2 linked regions of the Caenorhabditis elegans genome follow. The protein of the gene in region 1 purifies or fractionates together with the protein of each later gene. This does not show direct contact. Each region holds a gene or a part of one and is shown in the gene's direction. Other genes may lie near its edges.

Region 1 (4,139 bases):
TTAAGGAATTTTGATATGACAGTGGATTTTCTATTTTTCGATTGTGAAGAATTCAAAAGTTAGTTTGTAGAATCACCAGCAGCGTTGTTATTCGTTGGTTGAGTTTTTGCAGAACGTTGATGACTCCTGAAAACAAAAAGAATTTTAAAGACAAATCATGAGGTAGCAAATTTTTTGGAAAAAATATTCGATCATATTTTATTACGACGATTTCGAAAAAAATGTACCATTTGTAAATTTTCGAAAAAAAAATTACTGGAAACTTATGAACTTAAAAAAATTGTTTTTTAAAAAATTTAACAAAAAATACACTGGACAAAAAACTAGTAACTAGAGTCAAAAAATGGCTAAAATTGTTAAAATTTCAACAAAAAAATCTTACAAAATTTTTTCATACTATTTGCATATTTTTCCATTTATTATGAGTTTTTTGGTACATTTCCGTCGATTATGCAAAAATTTCATCTATCGACCAAAAATCGCAATCAATGAAAAATTGTCGTGAACGACAAAAATATGTGATAAATAAGTAAGAATTACTTTGAAGCGTTAAATTTGAAAATAATTTGAATTAAAAATTTATAATAATTTACCGCCATAATGACACCAAATCTTTCACATTTGCTTCCCGAATATCTTCCATTTCGAGCATCATTCTCATCAAAAAAGTCTCAATTTCAATGGTTTTCTTTAATTTTCGTCTGTTTTCCGACCGAATTTCTTCGCGAGCAATGGACTGATCGACGAAGAGTGTCATCTGAGCAAATTCGTCAATAATGCGTGTGTTGGCTTTTTCCTGAAACAAAAATGAATAAAAAGCCTCAATAAAAAGCCCAAAAGCGCTTGAGACCTCAAACGTTTTTAAATTTTGAGTTTATAAAATAACTCACTATTGCGTTATCTATAGCTGCTTGAGAAACTTGTCTTGGCCTTTCTCTGACGTTCTGAACATGTTTGACCATCATCTGCCGATGATTGTGCATAATTGCTTCAAGAGCTAACATCAAATATTCGCGAAGGCATCGAAGCTCATGGGTGTCTTTTTGTAGAAGAATCAACTGAATGAACTCGTTTTTAGGGTTTTCAAAAACATTGGTACAAAAACCTCTTGGTGGCGGCTCGTGTCGTTTGAAGAATTTTTAACCAAACAAACTCGTCCATCCGCATCCAAAGTGTAGTTTTTATTGTTTAGTTTGTTAACTTCTTCATTAAGAAGGTTTTGATGTCCACCATTCCGAGCTAAAAGCGATTCGAGGGTTCTTTTACTGCTGGCGATGCCGTCACTTGCCTGCAAGAAGATTAGTTATTGAAACACTAATACATTTCACTTACAATCTTTTTATAACTCTTGTCAAGACTTTGATTAAGCACGAATTTCTCCAAATTGTTGATAACCTTCTGCGAACTGGCGCTATCAGTCCTGTAACTTTTGAAGCGATAAAAACATTATTATGAACAGATTGACTTACCATTTTACAGTCGTTTCTGCAGAAACTTGTGCTGAATTTTCATCGGGAACAAAAATACTTTCATCATCGGACATGCTTCGCTTTTTTGATTAAATTACAAAAAAAAATCGTTGGAGAAACGAAGAATGTGCATAGTGCACGGAGAGTGCGCTAACACAACTCCTTTGCGCGGTATCGGTGCGAGTCCGGGAAATTCATAAAATTGTTTATTCGTTTCTTGGAATGTTAATGTTCATTTTTATACAGCAAGCACATTTGTGCATTTCCTTCCAGTTTTTTAAAAGAATTATATTGTCGCGCTTTATTTCACCTCCAATGAGAATAATAATTGAATATTTTTTGTAGTAACAACAATGTCTCAACCAAATAAAGATCAGCGAAGTCCAGAAGACATAGACTTTAAGGTCAAAGCGAATCCAAAAGCGTTTCACAAATTTAACGGAAAGTTTCAACGCGTTTTAAGGGATCACGAGGACGATTTCAATATATTGTCTATCAGTATGCAGGATCATTTCGATACTACGAAACAGGTTGCTTTGAATTAAATGAAAAATTAAGAGTTCCTTATTTTCAGCCAAAAGAGGAGTTCGGTAAAAAAATGGATTGGTGCTATCAGCTGAAGAATATAATTTCGAAGAACAATCCAACGTGGCTATTCAATATCGTGCCAACTGGAAGTACAGTAACCGGATTGGCCACTAAAAACAGTGATCTAGACGTTGCAATTCATATCCCACAAGCGGCAAGAGTTCTGGAACAAGAAGAACGTGGAAGAAATATCACAGATGACGAACGACAAGCATCATGGAGAGAGTTAGGCTTTCTCGGGATTAATTAATTATTTAAATGACATAAATTACAGAATTCAATTGGAAATCCTACAAATTGTCCGTCTTAACTTACAAAATGATGAACAGATCAATTCAAGAATTAATTGGGAACATGGAATCCAGCTCGTTCAAGCTCAAATTCAAATTTTGAAAGTGATGACGGTAGACGGAATCGATTGTGATATCAGTGTAGTTATGGATCGATTTCTGTCATCGATGCACAATTCTTTTTTGATTCGACATTTGGCACAGTTAGTTTTCTTGTTGTTAGACATTCTATTTCCAATTAATTTTGAAGTATCGACGGCCGATTTGCACCATTATGTGCAATCGTAAAACAATGGGCAGCCAGTACAAAAGTTAAAGATCCAAAAGATGGAGGATTCAACAGGTTAAATATTAATCACTTTATTTGAATTTATCTAAAATTCTGAAATTTCAGTTATGCACTTGTTCTACTGGTGATTCACTTCCTCCAATGCGGTACATTTCCACCAATACTGCCAAATTTGCAAGAAATCTTTAAAAGTGAGTGAATATATTCTCTGTTGTTTTTTTTTCATAATTAAACATTTCAGAGGATAATTTCATTGCTTGGGATGACAAAGTCTATCCATCAATTTTGAATTTTGGTGCACCACTTCCCAAGCCTCTTCCTAGAATTGCCCCAAATAATGCTCCACTGGCAAGATTGTTCATCGAATTTCTATATTACTACTCGATGTTCAACTTCAAAGAAAACTACATTGGTGCCAGGCCTGTAATGGTCATGGATCGGTAGATTTTTTTTTCTGTGAATACAAATTAACCAATTGGATCTTCTTCAAAATAATAAACTGAAATTTCAGAAGAACATCACAAAACAATATGGTTCGTAGTTCAACAAACAAAGAGGTGTGTATTCAAGATCCATTCGATGAGCACAACCCGGGAAGAACTGTAAGAACATTGAATAGAATTAAAGATGTTATGAGGTAACCTTGAAGAAAACACAGATTTTAATTAATTGCTTACTTTCAGAAGCACATATCAGAAGTTTCTCCCTGTCGAAGGCTCCGAATTCACGTTTCCTACACTAGATGATATTATCAATATGTCACCAGAAGTGCCTAAACCATCGCGTGCAGAAGTTCGAAACTTCCGAGCTGAAGCCACAGAAGTGAATCGAGTCGGCTTAGGTGTCTACTGTCGGAACTCATTTGTATAGTCTTAATATGTCGATGTTTTGTCTTGTGTAATTAATTCAACAATCTATTTATAACATGGAAACAGTACGGTATAATAAAAATAAACCCGGTATAAGACAAAAGAAACAATACAATCACATGATAAAAGGCCACTTGAAAACGTTTCAGGTTTTAAAATTTTGAAAAAGAAACAATTACCCGGATTTCACAAGCATACACAAAGAAGTTGGCAGAAAAATTACAATTAAAAACATGAATTTTGAAAGGTTTGGTTTAAACAATTTGAGGGTTCACAAATACTTCATCCTCATCATCGTCTTCATCGTCAGTGTGTGCTCCTAAATTGATAGCACCATTTGTGGCATTATATTGAGCAAGCGGCGCATATCTAAAAATATTAAAATTCGAATTACGGAGACGATAACTAGCAAGGCTTACTCTACGTTTGAGCTTTTCGTCTCACTTGCACACTTTTTACAGGCACAGATTCCACAAGCCGCAATCAAACTAACTACAATCCAGAACATCAATCCAAATCCAGATGATTTATTAGAATCAATCAAAAGTGTAGGATCCGGCTTGGAGCAGTCCTCTGAAAAAATAATTGTGAGAATACCTGGAAGATTTTGAGAGTGTCTTCCTTACCACATTGC
Region 2 (5,666 bases), on another chromosome or scaffold:
ATGCTCCAATTCTAGGTTGTTTCTCTCAATTACTGATGTTCGATACTGAAATAATGAAAGATCTGATTGAGTTATTTGATATAAATTGATTACTTTGAATTCTTGGGGAATATCGGCCTGGTTGAGTGGGAACTCCCGTACAAACTTGATAGTTTCAGCGCAAACATAGACGGGAACATGCCGTGATTTTGCGATGATACAAACATTAACAGTTCCAATTTTATTGATGATTCCACCGGTTTCCATGACTCCTTCAGCGCCAACTAGAACTGCTTGAATTCTTTCCATGACATATCTTAAAAAATAAAAAATGTATATACGTTTTTCTTATTGTTTTTTATAATTTCCACTCACCCCACACAGCTATCTAGAACTAAAGTAGTTGGAACTCCATTCTTTTTCAATTCTTCAAACACTAGTTTTCCTGAAGCATCCGGTTGCGATTCGGTGACCCAGACATGAAGGTGATATCCACTTTTGTGAGCATCAAGAATAGTTTCCAGAACCACTTTGCTGTATGAGTGTGTCAGAATATTCTAGAAAATACAAAGATTAAAATACATTAAATAGGAATTATTTAAATAGAAAAAAAAACGTACCATATGATGAGTGAAAAATAGACGAGCGCACTTGGAAATTTTGGCTCGAGAACCTCTGACATTCTTTATAAATGAGCGTGCTCGTTGGCGATACAGATCAAGAACTTGAGAAAAATCTTCTTGATCGAGAAGAGCAGCTGGAGCCAGAGAAGTGAATCTGGTGAACAAATCAGCGGCACTTCGAATTGATGTTGAGCTGTAGTCCGTTTTCTCGAGAGCAGCAACTACTTGATTTAGCTCATTTTGAAATTCGGCAACGGTGGTGGCTGTAATTAAGCAAAAAATTAATTGCCTAAATATTCAAATTCAGGAACTTACCGCGACTCCGGTCTAAAACCTCGAGCAGTGTTTCCACTGTGGCTAGACTCGTTGATTTGCTTGGATCGTTTTCAAGTTTTCCACGGAAAGATGAAATAATGCTTTCTTGAACCATGTTAGATGGAAAAAGTCTGCAAAAACAATAATGGAGAACGTTTGTCGTAGAAAGAAGAAATATTTATAGAAAAAATTTAATGAAAAAATAATGATGTAAACGCGCTCTATCGTTACGCAGAGAAGATAAGAGTTAGAGAGTTAGACAGTTTTGATAGTGGCAAATTTAAAAACAAAACATTTTTTTACTTATGTATTTAAAAGGTTTCGTGAAATTTAATTTATTTTCTCAATCTCGAATAAACATTTTAAACATATTTTTTGAGTCAGTCAGTTTACTTTCTACTCTCAACTATTTACGCATCTAAAATCTCCCATTGTGTGGCGAACTAAATAGGATAATAAATAATAATTTTCCTTTTCGAAACTTTTATACTATAATTAATTCCCTCAATTTGCTCCATAATCTCCATTAATTTTCCTCGTGTAATTGCTTCGTAGATCATTTGAATCGCCGCCGTGATACAGTACTATTCGCTAACCTGCACATCTTAAATACCATCGACAATTTTTTAAAAATTCATTTTCCATTTTGTTCATTGATTTCTTGGTTCTTTTTCCATTATTTTTGCCTCAATTTGTGCAAAAAGTGCTGGATATCGAATAATCCACAACGCTTTTCTGTTGTTCTTTCGGTTTTTGGGCCGTTTCTAGATTTTCCTCTCCGTAATACGAATTCTCGTGGGGAAACACGTTTTCCTTGTTCTTTGATTAATTTCTTTTGTACTAACTTTTCGACAAATATTTATTTATACTTTTTACAGAATCAAGCTTGTCCGTTTCGAAAATGGAAGAAGAACCGTACAAAAGAAAGCTAACGAAAGCCGAGAAAAAGGCAAAATATCGAACAGACTACGCCGAACCGTTGAAGTCACGCCGGGAAGTTCTGAAAGCAATTATGAATGGACCCGAGTCTGAGCGGGAGAGAAAAGTTCGAGCCAAAAATCGAGAATTTTTCAACGAGGACTATAGATCAGGTAAACATTTTAAAGTTCTTTTATTATTAAAAACTTTAAAAAACCCTCATTCATAATCTATACATTTAAAGGAGTCAACATCTACGGAATGGCTGTGGATATGATGAAAGCGATGCCGGATAGAGGAAAAACATCGGGACAAAGTTTGGCGGTTTGGTATCTGGAGGATTTTGGAGTTTGGTTAAAAGAGTCGGGACAGGAGACGGAGCTCAGACAGAAATATCTGACTGGAACTATTCAAATAAACGCCTTAGATGTGTGCACAATTGGACAAAAGCAGCTTCTCAGTGAAATCTTCGATATCACCAAAGAGAAATTCACTGAGGACATTACACAGTTGCTAGATGCTGCCATCAAGAAACAAGACTTCTCCGTTGCTGCAGATATGGCTATTCAGTACAATCTTCTACGGGATCATCATTTCGAACATCTTGTTCTTCCATTAATGCTATCTGGCAAAGATCAAACGGCTTATAAATTGATAAGTAACAATGAGAGGATGCAACAGCAGCTTGTAGAGTTTTTTGATCGAATGGTTGGAATCTCAGTGGTTGCCGTTGAAGAGATGCTGAAACCCTACAAGGAAACCAAAATTATGACGATTCCTATGGAGAAATTGACGGGAAAAACGTTGGACAAACTCATTTCGACGATTATCAACAAAAATACTCACGAATACAACTTCTCCAGGGAATTGTCGAAGTTCGCCAAAAACCACTCACAGAATGGGAATCTGAAGGCATTGAAGTTTAATATCAGTGAACGATACGAGAAGGGAAAATCCGATGACAACTATTTCCAGCATATGGTTGAAACTTTTACCAAAGCCGAAGATGTTCGTGAACCTATTTTGTTTTACTTGTGGAGCTCAAATGACACCGAGAAACAGTAAGTGACATTCAAAAAGATTTTTCTTTCTAAAATTCAATTTTCAGAATAGATGCCATCTGCTTTGCTATCTACTTAGGAATCGCTAGTTCCAGCAGCTATCAACTGCCGAATGTTATGAGGGACTTCTTTCGACAACCTGATTCGAAGCTCAGAGAAGCAAAAGAACTTCTAGTGAGAAGAAAGTAATTGTTTTCGATTTCTTCGACTTTTTTAAAACCATTTTTGTTCAGAACACTGCAAGTTCCTCTAAATGGCGAACAATTATTCGTATTTGAGAATGAGCGAAGAACTCAAATCCACATGGTGAAAACTGAATCTGAGATGAATTACTTATGTTCCGAGATCAAATCACTAAGCGACGAGCCAGCACCTGTTTACGTTGGATTCGATTCTGAGTGGAAACCGTCGAATCTTACAGCTGTTCAGTAAGTGAACAATTTCATTCTTAAAATTCCATATGCACCGATTTTCAGTGACTCGAAAATTGCTATCATACAATTGTTCTTCAAAAATTGTGTATGGCTTGTGGATTGCGTAGAATTAGAAAAGGCAAATATGGCAGATGACTGGTGGCAAAAGTTCGCATCTCGATTGTTCGGAGATTCTCCTGTAAAAGTCGTAGGATTTGATATGAGGAACGATCTGGATGCAATGGCTACAATCCCAGCACTGAAGTCATCCATGAAGATAGAAGATACCAAAAATGCATTCGATCTGAAGCGATTAGCAGAGAATGTTTGCGATATCGACATGGAAATTTTAGAGCTGCCAAAGAAGACTTTCAAATTGGCAGATTTGACACATTATCTACTGGGATTGGAGCTCGACAAAACTGAACAATGCAGTAACTGGCAATGTCGTCCTCTGCGAAAAAAACAAATTGTGTACGCAGCATTGGACGCAGTTGTCGTGGTGGAAACATTCAAGAAAATCTTGTCGATTGTAGAGGAGAAAAACAAGGACGCAGATATCGAGAAGATTGTCAGAGAATCAAATGTAATGGCTCCGAAAAAAGACAAAGGACACAAATCGTACCGCAAGCTGAAAACTATTCCATGGCTTGAGCTCTACGATATCTTGCGAAGCCATCGTAATCCTACGAGATCACCACAGCGACCACACGACATTAAAGTTATTGTTGACACAATGCTGATTGGATTTGGAAAGAATCTGAGGTTTGAAGTTTATCTTTAAAAAATGTTAAAGTTGAAAATTTTTATTTCAGGAGAGTTGGAATTGATGTTATTCTTCCAAAAGACGTGAGCGACTTCCGAAAGTACCTGAAGGAAATTGAACGAGTTGGCGGCGAGCATCTACGTCATATAATCACAGTGCCATCGAAAAGTTACGAAGCCTTGAAAATGGATTATGATAATTATACAATTGCAATTCCGGAACTCAATAACATGTCTCCCGTAGATCAGCTTATTGAGTTTTTCGACCTGTTCAACGTAGATATTCGTCCGGAAGACGTATATCCTCGATGCACTGAATGCAATTCTCGGCTTCAAATTAAATTCCCCGGACCAGTTTTACATTTCTTGCACCAATACTGTGTCATCCATGTGCAAAATGTTTATCGTGCGGATATGAGCGAATTTCCACTGGAAGGTTAGTTTATTTCTCGCTTGCGGTCAACATGGAAATTTATTTTTACTTATAGAATGGTGGAATCGTATGCTTCATATCAATCCAGACGACTACGACGGAGTAAAAGTGGAAATGTCGCGACCATCTCCAACAAGCAAGTGGATCGTGGCAACTGTTCCCACAGGATGCCTACATATTACGTAAGAAATTTATCCTTTAATATTATTAAAACCTAATTTGGCTTTATTTAGGCGACAAACTGCACTTCACACCAATCTGCCAGATGGAATTGAAGTTCGAATCCACAAAGTGCCTGATGACGAGTTCAAGCGTCGAAATCTCAGCTTCTATGTGTGTGGAGAATGCGGTACGGTGGCTTGTGATGGTCGTGGCAATCAAGCGTCGGAGAGCACCAGCCAGGAATGTTGAATTCGAAATCCCGTTCCCCTTCTCGTTTTAAACTTGTACCATTTTTCTTATTTTTTCCTATCCACATTTTGTGTCCTGCATGTAATATCACCTCGTCCCGGTAATAGTTCTAAGTTTATCTAGTTTTATTCTCCCTGTTCAACGGTTTTTAATATTCAATACTTATTCTGTTAATATTTTTGCCTCATCTGGCATTATTCATTTCAAATGAATATTTTGTTGTTTATTTGTTATTTTCCTGAGATGCACCGCTACATCGCGCTACGACGATCGATATATTCTAGGTCGTAAATAGAGTCATAGAAAAGAAAGAAACGCAGGATGAGAGAGAGGTGGAAGAGCGGGAACACATTCAATTGATTCTTCTTTACTTTTGTAAATGAATTTTTCGTGCTTATTTTAAATGTTTAGTTTAATAGTGACTCTTCTTTAAATTCAAAACTTTCTCCAATTTTTGAGAAAAGTGATTAACATGTTCATTTCGCAAGGCTCTACAATTTTAAATTCTTTTTTTTTTCATAAATTTGAATTATTAGATATAAAAATCTTTTTTTAAGATGGGAGATACAACATCATCGGAAGATGTTCCGGAAAATAAGCAAAAATCACTGAAGTTTGAGATTATTGATGCAAGAATGAAGATTTTCAAAGTAGGCTTCTTTTCATTCAATGAGGGACCCTAATTTTTAGTTTTGAACCACAAATACGGTAGCGGGTCTCGAAACAACCGATACTTGGCAGCTACCGT

The links. Proteins that work in one complex are often made in the same cells at the same time.
Region 2: the proteins of rde-3 (region 1) and mut-7 purify together in Caenorhabditis elegans (affinity purification with western blotting, with the first as the bait; one study listed by BioGRID). This does not show direct contact.

Annotation. Positions count from the first base shown.
Region 1 is NC_003279.8:6,356,079-6,360,217, reverse strand, and holds rde-3 (PAP-associated domain-containing protein), read left to right. Parts: upstream 1-1,807; 5' UTR 1,808-1,822; coding exon 1,823-1,999; intron 2,000-2,043; coding exon 2,044-2,282; intron 2,283-2,331; coding exon 2,332-2,550; intron 2,551-2,597; coding exon 2,598-2,690; intron 2,691-2,741; coding exon 2,742-2,827; intron 2,828-2,877; coding exon 2,878-3,076; intron 3,077-3,147; coding exon 3,148-3,273; intron 3,274-3,319; coding exon 3,320-3,506; 3' UTR 3,507-3,604; downstream 3,605-4,139. Other genes in the region: K04F10.3 (Vacuolar protein sorting-associated protein 28 homolog), read right to left, coding at 60-126, 594-796, 891-1,058, 1,106-1,288, 1,333-1,426, 1,470-1,543; Endoprotease bli-4, read right to left, coding at 3,760-3,874, 3,925-4,078, 4,132-4,139.
Region 2 is NC_003281.10:9,538,508-9,544,173, reverse strand, and holds mut-7 (Exonuclease mut-7), read left to right. Parts: upstream 1-1,793; 5' UTR 1,794-1,818; coding exon 1,819-2,008; intron 2,009-2,079; coding exon 2,080-2,896; intron 2,897-2,943; coding exon 2,944-3,081; intron 3,082-3,129; coding exon 3,130-3,324; intron 3,325-3,372; coding exon 3,373-4,074; intron 4,075-4,124; coding exon 4,125-4,510; intron 4,511-4,562; coding exon 4,563-4,689; intron 4,690-4,740; coding exon 4,741-4,918; 3' UTR 4,919-5,143; downstream 5,144-5,666. Other genes in the region: eif-2Balpha (Translation initiation factor eIF2B subunit alpha), read right to left, coding at 1-45, 94-295, 355-536, 600-865, 918-1,032; ZK1098.3 (uncharacterized protein), read left to right, coding at 5,476-5,568. UniProt on the Caenorhabditis elegans protein: Represses the transposition of Tc1, Tc3, Tc4, and Tc5, perhaps by degrading transposon-specific messages.